Linked DNA regions of Nothobranchius furzeri. The protein of the gene in region 7 binds, or shares a complex with, the protein of the main gene of each other region. Links are inferred from orthologs where the notes say so. Each region holds a gene or a part of one and is shown on either strand. Other genes may lie near its edges. The genes, in order: gpkow, snrpd1, sf3a3, sf3b4, cwc22, phf5a and sf3b5.

Evidence for each region.
Region 1: sf3b5 (region 7) and gpkow share a complex: the UniProt entries of both Homo sapiens proteins name them as parts of the minor spliceosome. The link is inferred for Nothobranchius furzeri from reciprocal best matches to the Homo sapiens genes SF3B5 and GPKOW.
Region 2: sf3b5 (region 7) and snrpd1 share a complex: the UniProt entries of both Homo sapiens proteins name them as parts of the minor spliceosome. The link is inferred for Nothobranchius furzeri from reciprocal best matches to the Homo sapiens genes SF3B5 and SNRPD1.
Region 3: sf3b5 (region 7) and sf3a3 share a complex: the UniProt entries of both Homo sapiens proteins name them as parts of the 17S U2 SnRNP complex. The link is inferred for Nothobranchius furzeri from reciprocal best matches to the Homo sapiens genes SF3B5 and SF3A3.
Region 4: sf3b5 (region 7) and sf3b4 share a complex: the UniProt entries of both Homo sapiens proteins name them as parts of the SF3B subcomplex of the 17S U2 SnRNP complex. The link is inferred for Nothobranchius furzeri from reciprocal best matches to the Homo sapiens genes SF3B5 and SF3B4.
Region 5: sf3b5 (region 7) and cwc22 share a complex: the UniProt entries of both Homo sapiens proteins name them as parts of the minor spliceosome. The link is inferred for Nothobranchius furzeri from reciprocal best matches to the Homo sapiens genes SF3B5 and CWC22.
Region 6: the proteins of sf3b5 (region 7) and phf5a are in contact, whole or in part, in a cryo-EM structure (PDB 7EVN), measured with the Homo sapiens proteins. The link is inferred for Nothobranchius furzeri from reciprocal best matches to the Homo sapiens genes SF3B5 and PHF5A. Residues at the interface, in NP_112577.1 of Homo sapiens: Arg4, Tyr5, Thr6, Ile7, Gln10, Leu14; in NP_116147.1 of Homo sapiens: Pro6, Asp7, Leu8, Ile9, Phe10, Cys11, Arg12, Ile88, Leu91.

What each region holds. Positions count from the first base shown.
Region 1 is NC_091755.1:41,971,939-41,975,891, forward strand, and holds the start of gpkow (G-patch domain and KOW motifs-containing protein), read right to left. Parts: upstream 2,801-3,953; 5' UTR 2,590-2,800; coding exon 2,294-2,589; intron 2,137-2,293; coding exon 1,976-2,136; intron 1,747-1,975; coding exon 1,601-1,746; intron 1-1,600. Other genes in the region: membrane-associated guanylate kinase, WW and PDZ domain-containing protein 3, read left to right, coding at 3,733-3,815. UniProt on the Homo sapiens protein: RNA-binding protein involved in pre-mRNA splicing. As a component of the minor spliceosome, involved in the splicing of U12-type introns in pre-mRNAs.
Region 2 is NC_091759.1:18,894,640-18,898,322, forward strand, and holds snrpd1 (small nuclear ribonucleoprotein Sm D1), read right to left. Parts: upstream 2,370-3,683; 5' UTR 2,246-2,369; coding exon 2,232-2,245; intron 1,687-2,231; coding exon 1,610-1,686; intron 1,277-1,609; coding exon 1,076-1,276; intron 803-1,075; coding exon 726-802; 3' UTR 501-725; downstream 1-500. Other genes in the region: gamma-glutamylcyclotransferase, read right to left, coding at 1-4. UniProt on the Homo sapiens protein: Plays a role in pre-mRNA splicing as a core component of the spliceosomal U1, U2, U4 and U5 small nuclear ribonucleoproteins (snRNPs), the building blocks of the spliceosome.
Region 3 is NC_091751.1:25,496,844-25,501,063, forward strand, and holds the start of sf3a3 (splicing factor 3A subunit 3), read left to right. Parts: upstream 1-1,420; 5' UTR 1,421-1,546; coding exon 1,547-1,642; intron 1,643-1,723; coding exon 1,724-1,771; intron 1,772-3,752; coding exon 3,753-3,805; intron 3,806-4,220. UniProt on the Homo sapiens protein: Component of the 17S U2 SnRNP complex of the spliceosome, a large ribonucleoprotein complex that removes introns from transcribed pre-mRNAs.
Region 4 is NC_091759.1:1,630,057-1,634,122, reverse strand, and holds sf3b4 (splicing factor 3B subunit 4), read right to left. Parts: upstream 2,801-4,066; 5' UTR 2,566-2,800; coding exon 2,532-2,565; intron 2,096-2,531; coding exon 1,967-2,095; intron 1,882-1,966; coding exon 1,339-1,881; intron 1,245-1,338; coding exon 1,074-1,244; intron 849-1,073; coding exon 702-848; intron 607-701; coding exon 458-606; 3' UTR 279-457; downstream 1-278. UniProt on the Homo sapiens protein: Component of the 17S U2 SnRNP complex of the spliceosome, a large ribonucleoprotein complex that removes introns from transcribed pre-mRNAs.
Region 5 is NC_091754.1:30,022,249-30,026,385, reverse strand, and holds the start of cwc22 (pre-mRNA-splicing factor CWC22 homolog), read right to left. Parts: upstream 2,801-4,137; 5' UTR 2,681-2,800; intron 1,747-2,680; 5' UTR 1,744-1,746; coding exon 1,689-1,743; intron 1,623-1,688; coding exon 1,411-1,622; intron 1,176-1,410; coding exon 898-1,175; intron 1-897. UniProt on the Homo sapiens protein: Required for pre-mRNA splicing as component of the spliceosome. As a component of the minor spliceosome, involved in the splicing of U12-type introns in pre-mRNAs. Promotes exon-junction complex (EJC) assembly.
Region 6 is NC_091756.1:28,019,722-28,023,872, reverse strand, and holds phf5a (PHD finger-like domain-containing protein 5A), read right to left. Parts: upstream 2,801-4,151; 5' UTR 2,699-2,800; coding exon 2,647-2,698; intron 2,358-2,646; coding exon 2,334-2,357; intron 688-2,333; coding exon 521-687; intron 451-520; coding exon 361-450; 3' UTR 286-360; downstream 1-285. Other genes in the region: l3mbtl2 (lethal(3)malignant brain tumor-like protein 2), read right to left, coding at 3,739-3,971, 4,048-4,151.
Region 7 is NC_091752.1:24,290,177-24,294,375, reverse strand, and holds sf3b5 (splicing factor 3B subunit 5), read right to left. Parts: upstream 2,705-4,199; 5' UTR 2,592-2,704; intron 1,063-2,591; 5' UTR 1,048-1,062; coding exon 787-1,047; 3' UTR 501-786; downstream 1-500. UniProt on the Homo sapiens protein: Component of the 17S U2 SnRNP complex of the spliceosome, a large ribonucleoprotein complex that removes introns from transcribed pre-mRNAs.

The DNA.
Region 1 (3,953 bases), on a different chromosome or scaffold from region 7:
AGTAGCAGACGTTTTGTACTGTCAGGTGTTTTCGTGCCCTCACTGAGGCACCTGTCCAGAAGATTCTATCACAACCTTCCCGTAGCATCCTCAGACAGATAACGAGCTCAGACCGACGGCCTTCCTTCACGTCCGTCAGGAAGTGAAGTTTAAAGATTCGTTTGTTACTGATGAAATTGTCACTGCTGATTTCTTCAACCTGTCAGCTTTTTCTGGATTTAACGTGGTTTTTACAGTTTTCACTGTCAATTACACAACCTAGCCGGTTTTAAGTCAGGCACATCCCCAGGCAGCCCGGCACTGCTGCAGGATTTAATTGTATTTTTATGTTCCTGAATAGCATCTGCTTTAATTAATGCTCTAAAAATTATTTCCACCAAAAATAAGAGTTTGTTTACCAGTTTTGAGCATTTAATACTCGGTCAGTATCCTGATTTGTTTGATTAACTTTAGTGAGACGTCTGGTTTTAACACTGAGCAGTGCACAAGATTAAAATTTAACAGTTAAATTTAGTGTTCAAAAACCGATTCAGCTTCTGAAATTTTGTGCATTTACTGGTGTTACCTGTGACATATTAGCATGAAAATAGGGCGGAAAACATCTAGACATGAAAATCGGCACAGAACATTGGCAACACTAATCGTCCATCAGCTGTCCGTAACCTTTACACGTCGGTATCGGCAACAGAAAAACCATTATCGGTCGAACTTTACTTTTCATGGTTTGCTGCTAACATCACAACCAAACGTCTGTGAGGTGGTACAATCCTTTAACAAGCTGACGAAGATGATGTAAGCATGCCTTTTGATTAGGAATGTGTATTTTTGAAATTCTTGTGATACGATACATATCACGATACAGGGGAGACGATACGATATTTCACGATATATTGCGATACATTCAGTCAGACGTTACAAGCAATTTTTTAACTGAATTTATTGTAAGAATGTTCAATAAACAGTCCAAACTGATACGTAACATGTTTAACATGAGGTATCTGAACCATGATGGAGGGATTTACATTTCAGTGGTGGAAACAAAACCCGCTGCACACTGCTGCCAACTAGCGGGTGCTGATTGAATTGCGCAAAACGAAAATACACAAATGTTTGCATGTAAATTCTTTCAGGAATTAGATACACGGCTTTTGAATATCGATGTAATAATCGCAGGAAAAAATATCACGATATATTGCCACATCGATATTTCCGATACACGGCTTTTGAATATCGATATAATGTTGCTGGGAAAAATATCACGATATATTGCCATATCGATATTTTCTTACATCTCTACTTTTGATGGATATTGGTAGATCCGGGTGTCAGATTGCTGCAGTAGCATGTACACGTGCTTTAAATTAATCATTAAGATAAAGAATAATTTTGCTGTACTTTACTAAACCTTTTAAAGGTTTATTCCATTTGTTTTATAAATCTAAAGGTTCTGGTTTGTTGCATTACTGACTATAACAGATGGCTTGACTTAAGCTGCTCTAACAACAAAATTGTGAATAATTAATTTTTCTATCTTTTCTCATTCGTCTGGTAAACTTTGCATACTCCTAAGTCTCTTACAGCCCGTTCTGTCCCCACTTACAGATTCAGGCCGCAGGTCCACCTTTACATGGTCTCCATCCTCAAAACCCTCAGGGACTTTGTTCTGCATCAACAGAGGGATGGAGAGGTCCAGGCTTCTGTTCGACTCTGCTGCATTCTGCCATTGCTCCAGCTGCCTCCGTGAATCTACAAGCAGAAACACACAACGTCACTGATAAAGATGGTTTTCTTAGTGTTGGGTAGGAAAGTAAAAACTGTCTAATACACACACAAACCGGCCATGGAGCTCGTGCTCTTAATTGTTTTACAGTCTAGCAGGAAGACACTTCCAGGATGGGCTCCGTTTGCGAGGGGGTACACATTTTGACACGCAACCATTCATTGTCCAACTTCTGCATCTTTTTCAACCACAAACCTTCAATGAGTTCTTTGACAGCTTGAGACTCCACCGAGTCTTTGTCTTGGACCGAGCCGCGCGCTGAGCCTCCACTCGGGTCCGCTCGGTCCGGTTTGTGCCAGCGGTTCTTCTGGATCAATGGGATGATGAGCTCTTTGGGCTTCTCGGTTGGCTTTGAACTGCCACGGAAGACAAAAGTTAAATCTTTAAAGTGTCCCGGGTAGATACATTACACACACCACGTAAAAGTGTGGTCAGTCAGATTTAGAGTTCAAACGTCACCACTCCGTTTACAAACCACTGACAGCTTTAGCCTCTAGCTAGCGGTTAGCCTACCTCTGTAACTCATTTCGGTCGATTCCAGTCAGGTAATCCTTCTCGTCGGTCTTGGCTGGAATGCCGCCGGCTGCGGGTTTAAATTTGCTGACAGTTTTTGTGAAACCAAACGATACCGCCGCTGCCTTTTTATCTCCTTGGTTCTCGGCGGCACCTGAACCGTCTCCGTGCGACGCCATGATTGTTTGTGGAAGAAGAACGATGAGGGCGCAGTGCATTCTGGGAGATGGGGTTGCGTTAACGAGCCCGATAACCACTCTAGGCTGCAATTGACTACAGATCCCATCATGCCTCATAATAAGAGTTCTTTAAAGGTCGCAGGCAATCCGAGATTTACTGATTTATTTGTGAAATCCGTTGGTTATTAGTAACTAAATAATATATCAAATCATTTAAAGTAGTTAAACAGACGGTAATTACACTGACACTTGATTTAAAATAGAAAGGTACTGATGTTTAACACTTTCATTGTGAACATGTCTAGACTTGCAGGTCTATTTTTGAAAAGCTGAAACATCGCTCCGTTGAAGCGGTCATCTTGTAAACCCCTATAGTTTATCTGGAGCTTTTTAGTCTCCTGTAATAAAAAGAAACAAGAGCTGAATGAGTTGGATTAATGCGTGGGTCTGACTCCTTTAAATCGCAGATAGTGAAGCGGACTCTGGTGCTGCTGATGCAGGTGTGTTTTAGGCAGAATGTGGGCGGGGCTTTTAACTCCTCCTCCCAGTGCCTCCTGAGCGCCTGAACTTGTGAGGTTAACCTTTTCATTAGCCATGTAGCCTAATGTTGCTGTTTTTTTCTCCGCATTTGCATGTCAGCAGCATGAGCGCAACCTTATTACTATTTCCGCACCTGCTTTTGCGCAACCTCTGAAGTTCAGCGACACCTTTATTTGCTGAACCCGACATTTGTATGATTTTTTGGGGGGTAATTCGGGCTTTTTCTGTATGCATGATGGATAAACGATGAGGCGCAGAGAGTGAACATGGGGGTAAGAAACGCACTGTTCTCTTTGCACAAGTTAAAACCTCCCGTTTGGGTCACAACCATCCACGCCTTCTTGTTTTTTCCTCCTTTCTCCTTTTTGCTCGCAGCAATGTAGCAGCTGCTGAAATTATCTGCGACCGCCGTCAAATCTGCCCGATAGTGTGTGTGTGTGTGTGTGTGTGTTTTATTTTCCTCTCTCTCTCTCTCTCTCCTGCTCTCCCCGCTCTCTCGCTCTCCTCAGCTCCCAGAGCATCACTAGTGTCCAAACATCCCGTCAGCCGTGCGCATCGGCTCTGACTTTCTCCGCTGGCTCCGGCTGATCGCCTTTCATCTCATCTCCTCCAGACTCCAGACTCTTCCTCGCTCCTCCTCCAGCTCCTGCTGTTGCTCCAAACCAAACAGGTCGCGTTATTTATTAAAGTGCTGCTCCTTTTTTAACCTCGGCAGGGTCAATGTATATAGACGCGTTCAAACGGATCCTCTTTGAAAGGCTGAACTGCTTGAAGAGAATGTGTGTGTGTCAGCGGCAAGGCAGGTCAGTATTCAGTCTAAATATGAGAAATCTGAGAATCTGCTTCGTGTGTGTGTGTGTGTGTGTGTGTGTGTGTGTGTGTGTGTGTGTGTGTGTGTTTTGAGAGTTTCTTGATAGCTTTTCTATTTTCTTTATCGGTTT
Region 2 (3,683 bases), on a different chromosome or scaffold from region 7:
ACATTGTGATAAAAATACTCCTGCTCGAAAAGAACCTGGTGCCTTCGACATGTGACGAATATGTTAAAAGATGATCGTTTAATATAAAATAACTAGCTTTGGGCAATGATTTACGTCATTCCACGAACCTCTACGTTAGCCCGGCAAGCCATCCTATAGGCTACCATCTACCAGGTCACTTTTCCTACACCGCCATCTAGCGGTGACTTTGGTCCCCGGTGTAATGTAAAACAACGTTCCCCCACCTACATGTGCAGTTTTACCAATTATCACAACTGATGTGAGAAACTGCACCTAAAAGTTGACTAAATAAACAGTTTTGCTTTATTTTGTCAACTGTAGTGGGATAAAGGTCTGATGACTAAATAATAATTTCATAAAATACATTTTTATTTTAGAGCCTGGCCTGCCAGACTCATCTGTGTAACTTTATACACAAGGAAGCGTGGGGCTGGCTAGTACACCAGTAGCATTGGGATCTGATTGGGACAACACAGTAGTTAATGATGCTAGTTTATGTGCTGACACTTTATTCAGTATTAAAAACCAACACAAAGAAGTCAGAGTAATTTGTCCTCTTAACCAGAAGTTTAATGTACAAAAAAAAAAGTCCAACTAAAAAGCACACAGAAATTCACAAAACGTTTCTGCTTTAATGAAGCAAAGGAAAAAAAAAATCCTGTACAAACAGTGAAGTGTTAGGAATCAACAGAACAGCCTTGCGATCATCTCCTTGGTCCACCTCGTCCCCGTCCCCTTCCTCTCCCACGTCCCCGTCCCCTGCCTCGTCCCCGTCCAGCCACTGAGGAGACAGATGAGCAGCATCAGCACAAGTGTCACAAACACCATATTGCTCATTTAGCATCTGGTCCTTTAAACCACTCCTTAAATTATGTCGTACAGTTAATGTTACAATTTAGTTCTTTTAATATAAACCCATGCAGAAACCTGTGCAAACACACCAGTTACATCACTGTGAAAACCTTTTTGTTCACGCAAAGGAGAATTCAGATTCACTTTCTAAAAAAAACACCTTAAGATAAAATTCAACTCAACATATCTTATGCATTTTCACCTTTCTCACCTGCTTCTCTCTTCTTGGACTTGATCTTTGGCTCGATGTCAACCAGCAAGGTGTCCAGAGGGAGGCTGTCTGGGAGGATGAAGTAGCGAATATTGTTGCCGCGGATACTCAGCGACTCCAGCTGAGTGGGCTCCCTGTTTTTTAGGGTCATTTTTACCGCCTTCAGGTGAGTGTTCATGCTCACATCAACACCTGAAAAACAGAGAGGAGGGATGAAACACCAGCCATAAGTACATCTGGCACTTGAGTTTAGGATTAATTTTACAGATTAGAAAATATTTTAATTTGCAGGTTGTGTGTGTGCTTGTCTAGGGTTTGTTAAACATAAAAAAATCCCATCAAATAGGATTAAATAATACAAAAACATACATTGTGCAGATTTATCTGTACTAAAGTCTGACTATGAGGATGAAAGCACAGCTGTGGGTATTAATCTACTTAATGCATACAAATATATGTCATTAGTATTGAAATTAAAGAGCTTCAGCTGACTCCTGGCTTATCTGACCACCTTTATGAGCTCACCTGTGATGGTGCCGTGAACCTGGGTGCCATTTTTCAGCTCAATGGTTACGGTTTCATGGCTGAGCTTCATCAAAAACCTGTGGGCATCATTGCACACGATGACTGAGTGAAAACATCACAACGTAATTGGGACATTTCTCGCAGAGGCTAGATAGTAGCTTAGCTTTAGCTATCTAGTTAGCCACCGATGGCTATTAGGTGACTTTTAAAGCGTTTGAAACAATAAAAACACTGATTATCCACCAGTTTAACAGCTAAACTAAATATTTACAAAATGAACTCTAACAAATTATGTTAAAACCCCATTTTGAGCCGCTTTAGTTGATTGACAAGCTAATGCTACAACGGTTGAATGAGTTAACGTCTAGCCTAATATTTTTACTTATTGAAATAGAAATGTACTTAAAGTAGACGTTCATCTATGTTGATAATTAAAACTGTGCGTAGGAACGTGTTTTAAACCCTCAGCGGTCGCCGTAACGTCGCTCAGGATCCATTACATTTTTCCACTTCCCGCCTCATCACCGTTTAATCAAATCCCAATCCATCCGGCCACATCACTTTCATTTGATCAGTTTACGTTAATTCTCCGGTTAATCCGGGACCTCCCGCTGCCGCCTACCTGACTAGTTTCATGATGATGGAAAACAGTAGAGAAAAATCCTCCACCGAAGACAAAAATTACAGCGATCGAGTGAAAACACAGGCCGCTGTTGTATTCGAAACGTTCAGGGATGTGACGTCACTAAAAGGCGACAACAAAGACGAGGGGGTGTAATTACCGCCATCTACTGGTGGAATTGTGATCCGTTCTAACACTTTTGTTTTATTTTTCTGTGCAACATGTTTTACAGTAGTGTTAAAATCCACAATCTTTATTTTACTACTAATTTATTGGAATCTGGCAGTTAAAAGGTCAAATATCCAAAACAAAGATCCCTAAATGATCAATATTTAGGAAGATCACTACCGTTACCTACTGCTGGATTCGTGATCTGCAGAATTTGCAACCAAAAGGTCAAAACGGTGTTTATGTGCAACATGTGTTAAAGTCGTAGTAAAATTTACATTTTTACTGATTTATCAAAATCTGGAAGATGAAAAAAGGTAAAATATCCACAACAATTAACCCTAACTGATCAAGACCTAATTCATTCAACAGATCAGGAGACAACTTCAGAGAACTTGTCGCAGTTGAATAAAACCACAAAGCAGCACTTTCAGCTCATTTTATTAAGAGTAAACTCTGCACCGATACTTAAGAGATTTGGCCACACATCAAATCTGTCTTCTTGAGACCTGCTGGGAATGTATCAAGTATAATCAATGAGAGTGCTTTTTTTTATTCCAAAGATGTAGGCTGAGACCAATAAATCATAAAGTGTGAAGCACAAAAAGAAAAACGGCACAAGGCCATTAAACTCAGCATTATTCCACTTCTAATAATAATAAAAATAAATAAAACCGTCATCCTCTCTGTGTGTTGCCTGCACATGATTGACGCAACACGTTATTAATATTCTGGAGCAGAAAAAGTCTCGACTCAGTGCATCTGCTGTTGAACTCTAGAAAAGAAAATCTAATTATGCAGTGGTTTAAAACAGAAGTCATGAAATATTACAGCAGGTGAGCACGTGTTCCTGGAAATCTTTCATGTGGAAACAGATAATGTCCTTTTGGGGTTTCTCTCCACCTTAACCATAGCAACTGAGTAATCGATCTTCAGATCAGCAGTCGTGTTTTATTCTCCTGTAAACGTTACAGCGGGGCTCAAACAGGAAGTCACACGTCCAACAAAATAAAATCAAAGGTCAGCTGGACGTGAACATTCAGATAAAGGGGTTAAACGTCGGGCCGCTGCGCCATGAAATGTTTTAGGCTTTTAAACTTTGATTTAGCGTGTTTAAAAAACAATGTTAACAAATAGAAACTAAAGAAGGCACACACACCAAAAGAAGATCCTCACTATAATAAGGAAGTGATGATAAATGATTTATTTCTAAAGCAGCTAATAAATACGAGTCAAACGATGCTGTAGTGTGAACGCCGATATGCTAAAAGCGTATAAACCTAA
Region 3 (4,220 bases), on a different chromosome or scaffold from region 7:
TATGTGTTCAGACTTTAACCACTGATGGTCTGATCCAGGTGTCAGCATGTTGTTTATTGGTTAGAAGTTAAAATAGGTTTCGGAATCATTGATGTGGATCTCCGGTTCTAATCTGTGATGTTTCATCAGTCTGCTGCTCCTGGTTTGTGAAAGAACTCTATTGTAGCGTGGTGAGCTACTCCGGGCTGAGGAAACTTTCTGATGTTTTTAAAAACCCTCAACACCTCGGAGAAGTGGGTTTAAATGTTCGGAGAGTTCGGGGGAGCCCACGGGCTCGTTCCGACCCGGTCCGCTCCGCCTGTTTTGTTGGATAAATGAAGAGTTAGCATCAAGCATGTAGATGTCGGAAGATGCTGCAGCTAACCAGGAGCAGCCCTCTGGTAGCGGGTCTGCCACTGACCTCTGCCAGGTCTGCCCCAGTAGCACAAAGACAGAATGGATACCCCCCACCCCCCCACACCTCGTCTCCACAACGACAACGACCGCCCCCCCCCTTCCGCAGATAACGCCTCAGCGCCTCAAATCCATTACAGCAAGCGAGTGTTGTCACCGTGGAAAACTGGCTGCTCACCTTCCTGAACAGGCTGGACGCACCGCGGCGGAGAAAACGGTTCCCAAAGTCCCTGTAGTCCACAAAACCCAAACACTGGCTGCCCGGTGCTTTGACTTGCTGCTGCTGGAGAACGTACCGAAGCCAGAACGCCACTGTCAAGGCAGCGACTGTTACTGTGGAGTTTCCGGTGTTGACTGCCAAAATAAAAGCTCTGGCGGTAATTATAAAGATAAAAAGGAATATATATATATATATATATATATATATATATATATATATATATATATATATATATATATATATATATATATATATATATATATGACATGGGATCAGACCTCTGAGAATCATAAAAATGTTGGATATCATTTCTACTTTAGTTTTATCACATCCTGTCACATTACTATACACAGCTCTGACAGTGGAATGCATCGTAAATTGTTGTATTACATTTGAGAATGATTTATCATTTGCACCTAAGAAACAAGTTATAAGCGCCAACACTTCCGGTCTGTGGTAAGTGCGCTCCACCGCGTGTGCGCTGGGATAGTGTGTGTGTCCTGATTTTGCAGGCTTTGATGAGATGTGATTAGAAATAGCTCACAATAAAATAACCTCAAACAGCTCACGTGAACGAAAATTTCTATTTTGATCCATAAAACCGTCCGCAGTCGAATTATTCACAAACTCTCACGTCTGGATCGGTCTGGATGGACAGCAAATAATAATTTTAAAACTTTCATAAAATTCTAATAATATAAAAATAAAATATATGCTAATTTGTCCACTTGTAGGAATCCCGTACTGTCACCGTTATGGACGTTTGTGTGACCACAGCGGAACTAATAATTGGGAAATGTTTTCCTAGCCGTACTGAAGCGGACAGTAACTCCTGAACAGACGCCTTTGGTCAACGTACCATACTGCGCTGTGCTAACGCTTCAGCAGCAACCCTGAACAGTCTTCATTAAACTCTTGAGCATTTTGTAAACGATGGAGTCGATTTTGGAACAACAGCGTCGCTACCACGAAGAGAAAGAGAGGCTGATGGACGCAAAAACTAAAGAAATGTTGCACAAAAAGACCACGGTAAGCAGCGCAGCTTTTAGCATTAGCATGTTGCTAACACCAACGCAATGTTCACGTATTTGTTTTCGACTCTTGTTTCAGCTGCGGGATCAAATTAATTGTGATCATCGAATAAGAGCCATGTTGGATGTAAGTATGAAATGCTGCTCTTCCACCAGTGAGCTAAATGTTGTTTGGTGGTGTAGTTTTTTCCGTCGTGTTAAGTAATAGAGTCAATAACAATCATTGTGCTTAAGATCTGAATTTTATGAATCATTGCAATCGATGTTGTTCTGATTTGTTAAATGTAATATAGAAGTTATATCAGAAAATAAAGCTTATTTGTTGTTGGGTAAAGTTGCTTTTATTTTTATTGAGTTACCTGTAATGCTTGGTTCCTGCCTTGGTCGTCATTCACTTTTAGTGTAACTTTGGTGAATTTTCACCATCCATCCATCCATCGTCTGAACCCGCTTGGCCACGTAGGGTCGCGGGGGGGGGGGGACTGGTGCCCATCTCCAGCGGTCAATGGGCAATCAGGCGGGGTACACCCTGGACAGAGTGCCAGCCCATCGCAGGGGACTTTCACTGAATTTTCACTAATAGTATCCAAACGTTTAGAGAAGTAAATCAAAACCTCAGGTTGATCACTGCTGCTCTTTTAATCTGAAGTTCTCCTCATTAAAATGCAGTGAAACCAGAGGGCTTTACTGACACATCCAGACTTCATACACAAAACCCAACAGGTGGTACAGAGGGAGGATTGATCCTGCCAACGCTTACATTAAATTAAGAAAGGGCAAAAAAAAAAAGTAATTCAATAAATGAGGAAATACAATTGAAGATAACACACTTGGAGTTAAATGAATACAATTATTAATTTCCACATCTATTTTTTTAATACATTTCTTCATTTATATTCCTCACACTTCCTGTGGTATATGGTGATGAGGTGAATTAAAGTTAAAGTCCCACTAGTTGTCACACTGATGTGTGACATTGTTCTCTGCATTTGACCCACCCCCGGCAGTCCTCCAAAGGTTGTTGGAGACACGGCAGCACTCGGGAGCTATTTGGTGGTTTAACCCCCGATCCAACCCTTTAAAGCTTAGTGCCAAGCAAGGAGGCATTGGTTCCTGTTTTTCGAATCTTAGGTGTGACTCGACCGTGGATTTGAATCCCGATATCCCAGTCCCAGGGCAGACACTCATACTAATAGCCCACCTAATAATTGCATCATGTATTTCTATATGTACTTTCAATTTTATAACCAGTTATTGTCAATTTTGGTGGGATCAGACCTCCATAGGTTGATTTTTAAAATGTTTTAAATAATTTTAAGAATCACATTTAAACATGATCCTGAATGAAAGCGTATGTCGTGGTTGAATAAAATACTTGATCAGCTCAGTGCAGTGTGCTGGTTGCTTCTAAAGGTAATGTGCTTTATTTAACAATCTGATGTTTATTTAGATCTTCTCAGATCTAACAGAACTATGATGACATCTGAATCAGTCTGATATTTCTACCTGGAGATTCTAAGAAGCAGAATTTGTCAACTGATCTCACACACAGCTTAACCCAAAGTCTTAGATCCGGAGGGCATTATGCACATAGGGGTTGGGGTGCTCGGAGCGCCCCAACCCCTATGTGCGTAATGCCCTCCTCCCCTTTTCATCTAATGATCGTGGTTAAAAGGAAATCCTCCAGAATGCTGCAGAATCTGTGTCTGCTTTTTTTTTCCTGAGCGGTAAGTCTTGTGTGAGTGCATGCTTGCATGCACGCGCGAGTGTGCCTGCGCTAGTTAACAACTCGTTTTTAGATTGAGAAACTCCGACAGCACACGCGGAGGGGTTGAGGGGGGTGCGGTCTACCACTGCCTCAGTGCCGCTCTCCCGGTTCGCCAGGTGACGCCTCTTTCAGAAGCGTTTTTCTAACAGGAAATGTGGATGAAATGCGTCTCCAACCAGGCATTGACCCTCACTTTAAATAGTATTCTAGAGCTAGGTGTTGTCAAGCTATGTGTTACCATGGTAATTTAGAGCCAAGTCTATTACCATGATGATCTAACAGTGAGTCAGTGTTGGCTAGTTTAATGTCATCTGTTGTCATGTTCTGTGTCTCCTCACAGAGGTATATGGAAGTGAGTGCAAATCTCAGGGACTCTTATGAAGACAAAGATGGGTACGTTTTAATTTTTTTAAATATATTCAATGTACTTTTTTTTTTTGCTTGTTAGAGTTAAGCTGTTGTCTCTTTCTGTTACCCATTGTTTACTCAGGTTTGTTTTCCTGACAGTAAAAAAAATCTAAATATATAATTACATTTTTATTCTGGCCTATCAGAAGCGTTGGTATCCCATTCCACGGCTTTTGTTGCTACTTCTTTTATTAAATATATTAAATATTAAAGTCCAATGGCTCTATTTATAAAACTTTGTTTGGATCCTTTACTAAAAAAATTTACTTGCAGAAATAAAAAATTGGACCCATAAAACACTGCGTACATATAGCTGTACACAATTCCTGCTTTATCTAACTCTACCTAGAAATGTGTTCAGGTGATTTTGGATCACATCCCGCCTCCCGCACACCCACTG
Region 4 (4,066 bases), on a different chromosome or scaffold from region 7:
TAAATGTCCAAAGAAAACATTTTAAAAAAATTCTTTTAAAAATATTTTTGGATTTTAATCCCAACAGTAGGGAATATCACTTTACTTTTTAAATAAAACCATAATACCTGAGAGTATATGACCTACTGGGGCCCCTGCCTCAAGTTATAAATACCTTTTGGACATAAATTAGAACATATTACTCTCTCACCTGCTTATTATGCAGCTTTTACTCATAAACTAATTTCTGGTACATTACAAGTTTATTAGTAATAATTAAACGCAAAAATATCCAAAAGTTGTACTAAAATGTTTATTTGCCAATTTTCTGTTTATCTGTACAATGAGCATAAATCAAAAACAGTTGGTTAAATTACTTCCAAGATAACAAAATCCAGTAGATCGAAACATGTATTTAAAAAAACAACAAGCTGAATGTTCCTGTGGTCTGACGTGGATCACGGAGCTCTTGGTGCTCTCAAGGGACCCGAGGAGGGGCACCGGGAGGTCTTGGTGGCATTGGAGGTGCTCTCTGGAAACCAAAAGGAGGTGGACGAGGAGGAACGGCACCATAGCCGGGAGGAGGCATGGGGGGAGGTCCTCTCATACCTGGAGGCACAGGGTGGGCTTGGGAAAAAAAAAAAAAAAAAAAGAAATAACAGGTTAAAAACAACTTTCATTTAAAAAAAATTGTATTTTTGAGAAAATGCCACAGTGCTCACCCATGGGGGGTCCATACGGTGCTCTGGGAGGCATGCCCATAGGAGGTGGGGGCATGCTGGGGGGCGGTGGAGCTCGAGCCGATCCTGGTGGAGCAGGTGGAGGCACCATGCCAGGAGGAGCAGGCGGCATGGGCATCTGAGGCATACCTGTGGGCCCGGATCAAACAAATAAAAATAACTCATTCAGGGCTAACAGCTGCATTTTAATAACCTGACATTTAAATTGAAACATTATTGTTTTTATTTCTTCACATTTGAAGGAGATGACTGAGGTTGATCCTGCACAATTTTATTAATCGTTATTGGACTTCTTAAAGCTAAAATGGGGAGCAGAGACTTAAATTTTCAGGCTTTTCTGCAACCGAGTTATACCTGGAGGCATGCTGGCCGGTGCGAAAGGTGGAGGAACAGCTGGAGGTCCACCAAGAGAAGATGGAGGACCTGGTGTCCCTGCTGATGGAGGCATGCCCATAGAAGGGGGCATCGTTGGAGGCATTGATCCAGGGGGAGGAACGTGAGGAAAGGCACCAGGAGGCGGCAAACCTGCGCAAAAAAAAAAACAAAACTATTATATAATTAACCCAATAAATGTAGAAAGGTACTTCTTTATCGGCAGTTAAGATTAGAGCAGTCATACCATGAAGAGGAATCCCGGGGCCCATTGCGGTTAGGAGTGGCGTCTGTGCAGATGGTGGGGGCGGAGCATCTGCAAACAGCTGATGTGGCCTGTCTGCCTGCGAGAGAGGGTTTTGTGCAGCTAGCAGTCGCTCTGCCGCTGAGCCATGGCGTTCTCCTTTAGAATCTTTCTTGAACGCGTACGACACAGTGATGGGCCGGTTGCACAGGTACTGGCCATTCATGGCCTCGATGGCGGCGTCGGACGCATCAAAGCTGGCAAAGTTGATGAAGGCGTAACCCTTGGAGTTGCCGGTGTCTGGGTCTCGCATGATCTTTGGAGTTTGTAGAATAACGCCAAAAGCACTGAACGTGTCGTAGAGCAGTTTTTCATCGATCTCCGGGTCCAAGTTCCCGATGAAGATATTAGCGCCAACATCCAGGTTTTTGTTGTGGGCGGAGGCCTTATTCACGCGAATCGGTTTGCCGTAGAGCTTAATCATGTTCATGATTTTAATGGCATAGTCAGCATCTTCCTCACTGAGGAACTCCACAAATCCATAACCTGAGTGGAACAGTTTCATTTGTTATGTACATTGTTACAGTGAATTTTAGGACTTTCATCCCATCTTGAATAGCCTGATTCTCACCTTGATGTTGACCTGTGACCCGATCTTTGGGCATGTGTGTGTTGACAACAGGGCCAGCCTGCAGAAAAAGCTCCCATAGCAACGGCTCTGACACCTTCTCATCCAAACCACCGACATACACGGTGGCATCTGGAAACACAAGAAAATACCTATTAAGGAAAACGGTGTTTACATTGATAGGTGAGCATTGCTACATGCTAATGTCGCGAGTTTTTAAGGCTAACTTTAGTTGTTTAGTGGTTCTAGTCCTGACTTGGAATAATCTCTGCATTTCAAATAAACAACATAAAACTCCCGTATGCTATCGTGAAGTCAAGCATTAAGTAATACAAGCATTAAGTAATACAATTAAAATAAACAAAAAACGGCTAACTTAGCTAGAAGCTAGGCTAACGAGACCGGAGACTTCCATGTGTTTGAGTACGCATTTACCCCCAAAACACGGGCTAATTAGACAGCTAACATTGGTGGGAAAGAGCGGATAAGAATTTCAATTGTTATAAATCAAGAGATATCGCTAAATAATGAAGGTGTAAGCGTTAAACCATTTAAACAATGAAATTACCTTGGTTTCTTTCTGAAATTGGTCCCGCTGCCATGTTGAATGACCAACGCTGGGAGAGCGTTGTGAAGGGAAGGCCCGCCTCTTCCGGTAAAACCCAACAAAATAAAATAAGATCAAATAAATTAAAGTAAAAATAAACTAATTCTTCTGTTTTTGTAGTTACATAAAAAATTGTTATACTCTGATTACACTAAAGACCCAGACATTCCTAAACAAAAAAAGACAGCAAATAAATGAATGTTAATTAAAAACTTGAAAGGCAATCAAAATCACTAAGTTTCATTTGAATTGATTTGATAGTTTTTTCTGGGATATTTTTAGTTGTATGGCACTTAACCATTAACAACAAATTCAAAACAAAGCCACAATTATTTTTATTATTTGATTTATTTCATATACATATAAATATACTAAAGGTATAAACATGGAATACAAAGTGTTCATAGAAAATACACACATTTAGGGTCTCAAAAATTTTAGAAAGTAACTATTTTTTATATATATATATATATATATATATAAAACACACATTAAAAATAGAAACTAACATCATGCACCAAAGACAAAAAATAAAACTGTTGCCAAAGCTGTTTATAAAATGAATTTAAAATAAGCATCAGTAAGGGAGCCTTCATAGATAATAGTCATTAAAATAACTGAAAGAGCTGAGAATAATTAATGGCTTGTGAAGAAAAATACATCTACTGAACTTTATTTTAAAAAGTAAACCTTAAAAATAAACAAAATTAAAGACCTCCAGGCTCACTCATTAAACCTGCTCAAATACACTTATTACATTTTCTTTTTTTGGCCCCTAAAACGAGAACAGAATTTCACAACACAAACCAAATAATGCAACACATATTTCACAAGCTGATTCACTAAAACCCGGTGTTCATAAACACAATCGCCTTCTTTTAACCTTCATAATATTTGTCACATAATAAAGAAATAATTTGACATTATGGCATAAATATGAGAAAGTATAGCACTGTCATGATACTTAGAGATAGTTTGGCTAGCAGGGAGCGAACCAAGTTGCTTCCTGGTTAGGAAGTGTTGCTTGGCAATCACCAAAGACCACAGAAAGAGAAAGGTTTAGACTAATTAAAAAAAACAAGTTATAGGCTGTTTTGCAATATGAGTACTTGTTTAAACGTGTGTACTATATTAATTGTGAAATGTCATTGGCGTTAGCCCGTGTACTGTTCCAATACCAAGTACGCATCATGGCAAGTACGCTCAAAGTTCCTGGATGTGTTCGTCCTTCACCCATTACAATAAAGTATCCATCTTTGGACTTGGACCAGAAAAGTATCCCATAATGCATTTAGTCACAAACCGTTATACCACAAATAGATAGTAAAGCTCATAAAAATAAAAATAATTACGTCTTCAAAGGGCCGCTCAAAAGACTGGCTCTTTTGAACGAAGCAAAGAAGTCTCAGTGAGAGTGGAAGGAGGGGGGCTGTTCATGATGGACGAAACCATAATGCATATTATTGAGCCTTTTATATACTTCAGCCTGATAATTT
Region 5 (4,137 bases), on a different chromosome or scaffold from region 7:
GTTTCACAAATCAGAGGAAGGTTTCACATATCACAAACTATGTTTTATGCATTCTGCTACTACGAGCCCAGAATAATCTAAAACAGGTTTGAAGAACGTATGTGTTGCAGTTTTTGAGCTAGAGCAGAATAAAAATGGTCTGAGTAGAGAAAAATTGGGTGTATTAGCCCTTTAGCCATTTCCCGAATCGGAAGCTAACTTTAGCCTCGTATGAAAACTAGTGATTGAAACCACTTACAAATCTCTGAAAATCTACGCTTTTTAATTAAAAAAGGGTATTAATAACGTTTCAGTCAAGTCAGTATTAGAAATCGTGGTCTTTATATCATATCTAAATTATATATAAAGTTTATATTATTACTTTAACTGTTTTAACAAACAGGGAGACGAGAAAAATCAAATAGCTAAGTTAAAGCTAAGCTACAATTGCTGATAGCTTTATTTATGTAGCTTTTGTGTTAGCTTGTGAACTCCCTGCATTCGTTTTAAGACTGCGTGTTAATATTGATACAATTAGCTATGAAACACGGTGCCCTTTGCAATAATTCTCTGGTAAAGCTTTAAATGCTATAGTGCCTACATTTAAGAACTAAGAACGGTTGCAACAATTAGTTAATTTCATCCTTACCTTACCTCTATGAAACCAGCCGAGTATGGTTGAAACAAAAGCGGCCGCCAAAAAAGACCAACTTCCGGCCGAGGTCTTTCGATCGTCGATTTTCCGGTAAAAGTAATGACACGCCATCTTGTTCTCGCTAGAAAGTTCTTTCGGTGGCACGCCAGCTGATGTCTGCAGCCAGATCCTACTCAAATTTAGTGAATCTTCTCTAGTAAATATGAAAGTTGGTAGGTAGATGTAGGCATGGTGTTAATGACACGTCCTGAGAAACTTCTTACCGACCAAAACGTCTTCTATCAAAGCGTTCCGTGTTTCGGTCTCTCTCTCTTGACCTGGATCTGTCTCGTCCTCTGGATCGAGCTCTGACTCTTTCTCTGGACCGGGACCTGTCTCTCTCTCTGGACCGGGACCTGTCTCGCTCTCTGGACCGGGACCTGTCCCTCTCTCTGGACCGGGACCTGTCCCTCTCTCTGGACCGGGACCTGTCCCGTTCTCTAGAATGAGATCTGTCTTTTTCCCTGGATGAAGATTTGTCCTTCTCTTTGGATCTGGATGTCTGGAAAGAAAAAAAAAAGGATTTTAAGGATGTTATATTTTGATCATCGCATGTAAAAATGATCTGAAACCTGAAGACAGAAGAAAATGAAAACATGAGACAAGAAAAATAAAGTCCTACTGGACTTCTGAAATATCTTTTTAGTGAGTTATTTAGTTTTTCTGCTTTAGTTTACAAAGCAGAATTAAAGAGCGTAATAATTGAAAACACAAAAAGAGCAGGGCTTGATTCTTACATTTATCTGAGCCACACTGCTCCTAATCTTCTGCAGTGCATCTTGATGTTCCTCCTCATCCTCACTGTTTCTGCTGTCGGAGCTGCAGGGGGCAGGACTCTTAGAGCCTGTGGGACCGGACTGAGGAGAGGATCGCTTTTCGGGGTTTCTCTCTGCCACACCGGCCTGTTGGGGTATCGCTGCTGCTTGATTGGACTCATCTTCTGATGGCTCTGTAGACAAAGAAGATGAATATGTCATTTCTGGAAAAACATAAAGAAAGAAACTGTGAGTGTTACCTTTGTGTTCTCTATGTGCAGGACTGGGACTTTCACTTTTGGCTGAAGAGTCCATTTACTAAAATAAAGATTAGAGTAATCTGTTAATTTGTTATCCAAACTTTTCTTGTTTCTAATAAACAGAATGTAAAAACTCCTTTGTTGTTTGTGCCATATGAAATCCTACTGGTCCTTATTCTCCGATAACAGGAAAAAATGTTAGCAAATATAAACGTTAATGTAAAATGGAAAGAATCTCTTTGTCAAGCACTGGTTGATTAACTAGAGAAAATAAAAACGGACCAGTCAATATAAATGACGTTTTGACTTTTTAAGTGACTAAGCATTTCATCTTTTCCCAGAAAGAAAACCTGGATTTAAAAACCATCGAACTGACATTAATTCATTCTTTATCGACCTTTAGGCTGCTTAAAAGTAACTAAAAGAAACTGGTATTTTGGTTTAATTTGCTAGTGTTTATTCTATGGATATACGTTTATTTATATGTCTTATTAAGTCTAGTTGTTTGGATAATGACGTTGCTACCTGAAACAAGACGAGTAAAAATATTTTTGCGACAAGCGATTAAAAACTTTATTTAATGACCCTTAAGCATAAAATGGACAACATGAACGAAATAAATTCTGTCACCCCGTTTCAAAAACATGTTAGACGTATTTTCGCTGCAGTTTTCAGCGGAGTTGTCTTATTCAAAGATATGATACAAAAACAACTAAGAAACCAACTCCTATTATTGGCCTTGAAAGGAAGAAATCATTCAACGGGTTTATTTATACGTCCAACAGGACAACGCTGAGACGATATAATAACACACCATAACTGTGTGTGAATAAACTTTGTTTTAGTCGGAATTTTCTGTTGTCGCCATGTGTCTTAATGCGCTAAAGCTAGCTCTGTCGCTAGCGCTATATTGTTATTTGCCAGTCTGCCATCTAATCCTTTATATTTTTAGATTTTCAATAACTCTGCAAAACGATGTTAACCAAACGTACCTTCCGTGCCACTAATATCCAATCTTCTTTAGATATTTCCGACTTTCCTAAATCACTGTAGTTCGACTAGCGGAAACCGTCTAAACATTAAACCATATCCGTTAGGTCAAAGGTTACTTCCGGGTTTCACAATAAAAGTTTCAAGTTTTGCAAGCTGTTGCCAATTTTCCAGTTACGGTGAAGCAAGAAAATTCACCCTCTCAGAAAAATACATATAAAAAGGTAAAAAAATAAAAAAAGAAAGAAAAAAAAGAAAGAAAAGAAAAAAGACATGTGAACACAGTTTATTTTGATGTTTTAAAGTTGTGAAGCATTAACTAAATTATAATAATAAGAAGAAGAATCTTGGTACATGTTAGGATGTAAAAAATAATATAGCTTTCATTGTTCAAGTTTGTTTATTTATAACTAATTACATTGTGGCAAATAAATAAACAAATATATAAACTTATCTTCAAACTGTCTGTGCTTTTTGTCCTAAACTCCAGCCACTGAGCTGAATTCACCATGACACATTACATCAGTCATGTTCTGTCTAACATGGAGAAGGGTCTTCTTTCTTTTAATAATCAGACATCCTTCTTCATAACACAAGTAGTTTGCAGTGGATCAGGGTGATCTGACCTCACTTGACAGGTTCTGTATGCAAAAATGAAAGATTAATATATTAGGCTATTGTAATGCAAGCTTGTAAATGATTTTCACAACTATTCAGGAATTCACTTTAAGAAGGGTGACAAGATGGAACACATAGAAAGAAAGAACAAGAAGAAGAAAAAAAGAAGAAGAATGCTTCTTCTTGTTCCTTCTTGCTCCGTCTTCTTGTTCCTTCTTCTTCTTCTTCTTGTTCCTTCTTCTTCTTCTTCTTGTTTCTTCTTGTTCCTTCTTCTTGTTTCTTCTTGTTCCTTCTTCTTGTTTCTTCTTGTTCCTTCTTCCTTCTTCTTCTTCCTTCTTCCTCTTCTTCTTCTTCTTCCTCCTTCTTCCTTCTTCTTCTTCCTTCTTCTTCTTCTTCTTCCTTCTTCTTGTTCCTTCTTCTTCTTCTTGTTCCTTCTTCTTCTTCTTCTTGTTTCTTCTTGTTCCTTCTTCTTGTTTCTTCTTCTTCTTCTTCTTCTTCCTTCTTCCTTCTTATTCTTCTTCTTCCTTCTTCCTGTTTCTTCTTTCTTCATCTTCCTTCTTCCTGTTGTCCTCCATGGTGCGCAGTAGGACACAAGGTTCAATAAAGCACCATTAGAAAGACACCCCAAGTCATGTCCTCCATCATTAGTGCTTCCAGAAATTGGAAGCATAGCACTCTCTTCATGCTATCCCCACTGATGTAGAGTGGTTTAATGACACTATCTTACACTAACTGTGCCATGCTGAGGCCTACAGCCAAGTCTGAATCTCTTCAAATGAAGATGTGTGGAATTAGTCTGGATGTCAACCCTGACATCAGATCGACAACAGCTGTGGGCTGA
Region 6 (4,151 bases), on a different chromosome or scaffold from region 7:
TATATAAACTTTAATTGAAGTGAAAATTTCCTAGCCATATTCCTGAAAAAGGGCGTGTCCTTTGACACGTTATAATAAATAGAAATGGTAAGAGAGAAGTGGGACTAGTAGACTGGGTTCACTCAGTTCTACAGCTTGCTGCTAAACGTTTACATGATCTAATAAGGTTTAATAAAACTAACAGGCTTAGGCTAATTTGAAAATGTTTAATGAAAAGATTTGAGTATTCCATCTGATTCATGTTCACCAATTATCTTTTCCAGTCACAAAACATGAAGACAGAAATAGAAAAAACATTTTATTAAGAAAAAGTTTTTGGAAAAAAAAAAAACGACTATGAACTCGGTGTTTCTCCTGTCTTCACCTCTTCTTGAAGCCGTACTTCTTCCTTTCATAGAACAGATCTGTCTTGGAGCTGCCCAGGTTTACGATCTTGGGACAGCCATCTCGCTGCAGAGAGGAACAAAATATTTAGAGACGTTCCTGCAGACACAGCTGGGCGTACGAGAGGAGGACTCACATCTTTCTCCTGGATGGTGCACTCTTTGCAGTAGTAAGCGTCAGACACGCCGGGACCTCCGCAGATCACACAGCGCCCCTGATAGGAGCCGTAGTTACACTCATCACAAATACGCACCAGCGTGCACGGTCGCACGTAAGAGTCGCAGATCACACACTTCCCATCACCTGGAAGAGGAAGAGAAACTAAGCTGGTGATGGGAACAATAATTATTTCTACATTTACTAATAAAGTGAAAGTGCTTCTGATCTTATTAGGTAACTGTAACAATCACAAGACTGACCCGCCGTCTCTTCTGTGAGTGTTTGGAACGTTAGGAAGAGTTTCAGTCACGTGTTTTTAAGTGTGAGTGGTTGTGAAACGAAGTGGGAGAGGAGCCAAAGCTGCACTGGAGGTGTTGGATAAGTGAAACCGGAGATCTGTTTAACTGCGACTTTTCCTATTCGACCTAATGGCTTCATTGACTTTTCTCAAAGCAAAATGTGGAAGTGACATCTTTCTCAGATTTAAATCTGAGCCTTGATCTGTGTGTACAGGTGCAGACTCTGCTCAGCTCGTGTCCTTCACCTAAACCAACTTCTGTCTCAGGGTCCCATCTGGACTCCAATGCACCAGAATGCCACGTTTGGAGTTTCTTTGATAATCCTGCAACATTTGCAATAACTTTAAAATTTTCCTGTCGGGTGCTTTTCCAGATTTTCTGGTTAAGTTGGCAAGTGTCCAGACAGGATGTCCACAGGTTTGAAAATTTCTGTTAACACATTCTTCTGTTGTCTCTTTTGTCCCAGCTGGGACACGCTGAACTCAGTGGATGGAGAAACTAGTTTTAGTGAAGTTCAGTGTTGAGAGTTTAACTTCTCTCAGACTAGTTTCAGTCTGGTGAACATCTTGGTTTGGGTTGTGACCTCGTTATTATTCCTCATGTCCAGCATGTACTGTCTAAAGGTGATTCATGTTTGCACGGTCTGTGTAGAAAATATGTTTTCTTCACTTACAGCCATACATCTGGACCCTGATTACTGTAAATGACCACCAGATTTTACCTGCATATGAGTCTGGGTCACGGGGGTTGCAGCCCCAGCAGAGATACCCAACCTTGCCTCTTTCTGAAGACCTCCTCCAGCAGGATCCCCAGGTGTGCCTTGCCCAAAGTGGAGGTACCTCCAATGTGTCGCAGGTCGACCTGGAGCCTCCTGCTGGCAGGACATGCCTGAAACGCTTCCCCTAGGTGGAGTCCAGGGGACATCCATACCAAATTCCCAACCCACCTCAGCTGGCTCCTCATCTTTAAAGACATCAGTCAGTCAAAAGCTCTGCCACGTGTAGCATATGATATATGCTGCCATCCCAATTTTGCATCATCACAGGATTCTGCCTCACTTTCAAGACCAATCCCAGTCTTTGTCCTCGATATCCAAAATCCTAACGATGACCTGCATATCTCCACCTCCACCCTAAGGCCTCGTCTTCCTTTTCCTTGTTGACACCTCAGATCATTTTCAAATTCTCTTATCTAAATTTATGTTTGATTATTTTAAAAATGCTGCTTAAATTTACATTGCATTGACTTTAAAATTCATTACGGATTTTACATTGGCATGGTTTTTTATAAGGTGGGTGTTTTTAAAGTGCCTATAAATAAAATCTAGAGGTTTAACAGCGTTTATGATGGTTGGTTCTTTTTAGCCGCCTTTACTCCAAGGAAATCAGCTAGATCTTTGGGTTAGAATTAGCCAAAAGCACAACGTTCTAGAGGAAAACCTATAACAGAAATAGACTTTACAGTAAACGTGTTAAAAGTGGAGACACTTACACTTCTCGCAAAGTCTCCCGATAGCTGCGGGAGGAAAACAGAACAGTCGTTCAATTAAACGTTTCAATTTTCAGGATAAACGATAAATTTGTACTTCTCTATGTTCAATACTCAGTTAAACGGGTTTAAAAACCATAAAATTGTTAGTGTCAACAGAGATGAAAACCGTAAAGACACGTCCAGCTCCGCTACTCATTTCAGTATTTATGCTAACAGTTAGCTTAGCAGCTAACACATGGCGCAAATCAAACGTGTTTCTGATATATCTGTGTAGTTTCAAAGGTACCGAACGACATAAAGTAAAGAAACATACCGACACCCGCTTGTTTTCGACAGAAGATCAAATCTGGGTGATGTTTAGCCATTTTCAGCTAACCAACGACGGCCGAACGTAATTCAGTTTTAACCTTTGACCGGCGTGCAAGTGTCGAGTTGAGTCGCTACCACCACCTAGTGCCTTCACCTTGTAACTACACTCTTAAAAAACGGGTTTCAAATAAACAAGGACATTGGGTGAAAATGCTGTCATTAGCCCAGAATTTAAACAAATTTCCAAGTTTTATGTTCACTAAAATTCTTTATCCCTCTGCTCCAGAGGTGATGCCTCATCCTGATACGAGCTGCAATGTCTCTGAGTTACCATAGAACAGCAGCAAAGTTAATAAAATTACAAAAATCCCTGGGTTGCTGACACTGTCTCAAAAGGTTCAACAACAAATAATGAAGAATAGGGAACATTTTTATCCAGGTCCATTTTATTATTTTCTTTTCAGTTGTTGTTTAACCACTAATCAAAAGCCAAGATGGATTTTCAGTATATATTTATTACTTTTGTCAGTTTCAAATCATTACAATGACCACTGTGAGTTCTTCTTTAACAGAATTATACCAACAAACATTAAAACAGTTAACTTGGCTAATATGACCAGCCAGTGAATTAGTCTAACTAGTGAAACAGGTCCACATTGCCATACCGGCTCCTGGTCTATGCAGCCAGGATCAGCCGGTTTTCATCTGTTCACCTACTGGTCTGACTCTTACTCCCGACTGGATATTTGCTCACAAAAACAAATCTGATAACGAAACAAAAACAATGACTTGATCACTAACAAAAGCTTTTGAGGAACTGGGTGTAGCTAGGGTGACCTTGGGGGAGGCGAGACAGTTCTGAACTCTCTTTTTGGGTCGGAGGGTCTGAGAGTTTATAAACAGCAGAGATTCATGAGACATAGCTCCAGCCGTCTTTTGATTCACATCTGTTACCATCTCAGAACGTCATCTACAGCAGCCGCTTATATCTCCATCGGTTCAGCTCCTCCTGCAGTGTCTTGTTGTGTTGTTTTCCCACATCTCTTCCATGCTCCTCCCATTTTCTGGCCTCCTTTTTTCTGGGGTTTGTCTTTTTTTAACTCCGCTCAGCTTGTCCTTTATGCTCGCCTCCATTTTCTGCTGTTTCTCTTTTCTCTGCGGTCTGATGGATCATGTCTGCCAGTGGGCTCTGCTCTGGCACCTGATGTCCCGACTGGATCATCTGCTCGGCCTTCTCTTGTTTCACTTCACACTGCGAGACTTTTTGAGGCTGGTCTGGGGGGTTGATAAGGGTCTCCATCTCCTCCACCTTCACCTGCACTCTAACGACTACAGAGACACAACCCAGTCACACAACAATGATCAAAAATGACCTTTAAACCAAATTTGAAGAGCCTTCACTTACTCTCTCTCTCCTCTGGTTCAGCCTTCAGCTGGACGAGCGGCGCCGCTGGACATCGGCTTTGAGAATCGTCAGTGGTCGTATTCGTATCACCAGCCAGCTGATTT
Region 7 (4,199 bases):
CAGTTCCCAGTTTTGTCTTGAAAAAGCAGGTCGGCTGGTTTTGAAAGCAGTCTTTTGGCAATTTTTAATAACATCATAAACCTGTGTTCTGTTGTTTTTAACACCGTTATTTTTTTTCTTCAACCACCTTTTGGTGGACTTTTCTAAATTTCACCCACTGATTTTTCAGATAATTTTCTTCCGTGAAATTTCCTACTGCAAATAAGCAGTTTCAGCATTTGAACCACAGTGCATCAGTTATTGTTGTAGTTGAGTAAAAGCATTTTGCTACAACTATAATAAAATAAAGATTATCTGCATTAAATTCTCTTTTTTTTCTTAATATTGCAGAAAAGTATTGGGTGTAGCTGAAAAACACCAGCATTTCAGAGTAAAAGGCTTCAAAAGGCTACCTGCCACCTATGAATGTTTATTCAAATAAACCCAAATCACATTCAATCCAAATGATGACAAATAAAAGTGTTGTGAAAGAATAGATGAATAGCTGGCTGTAAAATAAATAAGATTGTAGAAAAAGGTCAAATTTTAATGAATAAGCAAAACTTATCATGGGCACATTGTAATCATCAATCTCTTCAATCTCTTCACAGATAATTGTGCATCACTTAGACACATTTACCGTTCTTGTAAACATTGAGATCTTGAAATAATTTGTTTTGCCTCAGTGCTGTCCATATGCAAACAAAACTACTATAAATGGATGATCCAATTATTTTTGATAGGGTCAAACAGGATTTAATGGTAGAAAAAAGAATTTCCAGGGACAAAAGCTCACTCTGGAGTTATTTAAGCATCATCGGGCTTGTCTGCTGGGGGCCCACATGGCTGAAGCATCTTCTCCATCAAATTGAAGCGAACGCGGGCCTTGCTCTCATTCTCAGCCACGGAGAAGTAGTTTAGCAGGTCAAAGTGTCCCATGTAGGAGCAATATGAGTCACGATGTTGGTTGACCAGCCATTCCCACTTGCTGGTATCAGCATGTCCTGTGCCGATGTACTTTGATTGAAGATGTTCCAGCTGACTGTGGATGTTGTATCGGTCCGTCATTTTCACTCAAAGACTCTGGATGGGGAAAGGATAGAAAAACATCACCCGTGATGTTCTTTAAAATCATTTATATAAAAAAATTCTACATTTTCTAGAATATTAGGCTGATTCATTAGACGTTGTTCTTGTACAATGTTGTTTGTAAAGGTCAATCTTGTTTGATTCACCAGGGAAAGAAGTCCTTTAAGTTTTAAAATAAACTTGGGGTTTCATCAGTGTCCAGATGAAGATGTACTGTTATTCTTAAAAAGATAATGTGTGCATGCTGTACGTAATTCATGCTGGGATGCAAAAAGCATCACTTGTTTTTACTACATTGTGTCAGAACTCCATACACACATTAGCCTGTATGATGTTGTATAAGGCACATACTGAGCAGGTAAAGCTTTTTAAAATGCTGCTTTCTAGGGATGAACAATATATCAGCATCAATATCTGTATCGGCCGATGTTGGTCAATTTTTAACATATCGGCTCGATAAATAAAACCAGGCCGATATTTTTTCCATCTCGTCTCCATTTGTTCGCCTGTTTCAGAGGGTGAGGGGGGTGATGTGTAATTGTTTAGTCATGTGAACAGTGAATGAAATAATCTCAGACCCATAAATGTGTGTGTTGCGTGTACATAATGTAAATTCAGCTTTAATGTCAGCATATCTGTACCGGCAAATATCAGTTATCAGCCATAACAGTGAGCTCAATATCAGATATCGGTATCAGCCCAAAAATGTCATATCGGTGCATCACTACTGCTTTTCTACATGTTTTAACTTTTAGAACAGCTAAAAAGTTTCAGACTTTTTAACATTGATTTCCAACAATGGTGGAAAGAAGAAAAAAAACCTCCAGCTCAGTCTCTTTTTAATTTGGGTCAGACAAACAAAATAAACGAGTATTTGCAGCTAATCGTAGCAGCAAAAGCTACTTCTTAACAGTATTGATACTATTTATTGACACAATCAGCAGATCGCATGCGCTTTTGATTTAGCAAAAGAAAAGACAACACAAACGCAACAACAAAACCTTAGAAGGTCCCAGGACTAAGTACTGATAACGCAACGTGTGGGTGACTACTTTAATCTGGATGTATGGTGACAACTAGGGAAAAAGACAGAATTAAAGCTTAAAAACTACCACTCCAACATTAAACATCCCAAAAAGACTATTATTTAAAGCAAAATACAAACGAACATTTCAAATATATTGGAAAGGCTAACGATGTTAGCAAAGTTATCTAATTCGTTCATGCAGTGTATTTTTCCACTGCATTCGAATCCTTAATCGCCGTTATTTATGTGAGTTTTATCCAAATGATCAACATTGACATATTAACAAACAAAATACAATTCCAAATATTCGGTCGTTGCCCTTTATTTACACATTTTCTTTGTTGGACAACGTTTGATCTTCCACTCTTTATGCTAACAGTAGCTTAGCTTAGCTAGTCGGTCTTCGTGTAATAAAAGTCTAAATTTAGGCTCCCCTGGAGGGCAAATAATAGCTTCAGCTTCACATCAATTGGTTTTAAAAGAACAAAACACTTACGTAATGTGTACAGAGATCAAGAACTAAAACAAAACAGGTAAATTAATTCTGAGTCGTTCAGGCACTGACAAACGACCACTGCCGGCGCGTTACCCTATGAAATGATCCGGGTAGGAACAAATGTCGTACTGTTCTGATTCCGCTCCATTGGTCAAAGTGTACTTCTTACTCACTCAAAGAAAGTTTTTTTTTTTTTTTTTTTTTAGAAAATCTGGGTACATTAAATACAGTTATTATTTTCTTTGGTTTATTTGTAGGTTAATTGAAAATAGGTTGTGTCTATGTTGCAATCTTTTCTTTTTTATGTTTTAAATTCGTGTGTAGCCTCTATCATCATTCCACACCATTCAAGGGAATACGTCCATTGTTTTTCTTATGCTTCTAAAAACAAATAGTACTACTTGGTCTTCTTCCAAATAAATAGACTGCAGTATTTATTGGCTTTTTCTAAGGATATAAATATGCAAGTGTCTGCAGCAATCATTAGAGTACCTGTGCAGTGAGATAAACTTTTCATCAAAACTGATGTATTCATGTTGTTTTAAAACATTTATCTTAAAACAAATAATCACAGTACAATTTTTCAAATTGCCACATCGAGACTAAATTGCTCAGAATTGCTTAGCACTGGGCTCTCCTGTGGCTGGTATAATGAAATTTTTTCTGTGGATAATGTGTTTGATGATGTTCTGCATTGAGCATGTTTGCTGCCTGTAGAGTTATGACCCTAATTTTCCATCTACCAGCTGTTGCTAATGGCAACCATGATTGGGACAGAAAAATATGAAAATATGGTTAGATTTGGGTTCAGAAATGTTTTGAAATATTTGTTAAAAATTACTCACCTATGATCTTGACTGCTTTTCCTCACTAGGGTCAAAGGGAGCAGTCTTTCCCCAGCAGTCATTAGCAAAGTACACCCTGGACAGGCCACAAGATATCACAGGGACACTGGGACAAACAAACTACCACGTTATGGTAGAGTCGCGTTGTTGTTATCCAACGTGGATGTTTTGTCTCTACAGATAGCACAAGCCTGGAGGAGCTTCTGCTGTGTGGTGGGGTTGCTAATGCTAATGGTCAGTGTTGGGAAAGTTACTTTTAAAAAGTAATTAGGTATAGTTACTGATCACGTCGTTGTCCAAAAAGTAACTAAAAGTAACTAATCACCAAGAAAAATAAACATTTTGTTACCTTTTTTTTCACTAAAGAATGCAAGAAAAATGGGTTCCCCTCTTGATTAAACTTACTTAATTTACTATAAATTACTACAATACTGAAATATAAATGACTAATGACTGGAACATAATAAAATGTATGTCAAAATGTTTTTTTTTTATCAAACTGAATAATTGAAACAGATGGGCACTTAACAGGAGGAACTACAAACAGGAACATTACATTAATCAAGACTATTAAAATGTCACTGTGTGATATTTAACAAGACCCCAATCAGCTCAAAATTATAATTGCAAATATAAACAACTGTAAAGGTTCCTGAGCCTTTAAATGGTCTCTCAGTATAGTGAAATTCCTGAAATAAAAGTAATTTTGCACAGCATTCTAATTTTTCCTGCTTCACATAATTGTGTGTTATTAGTAGCATTT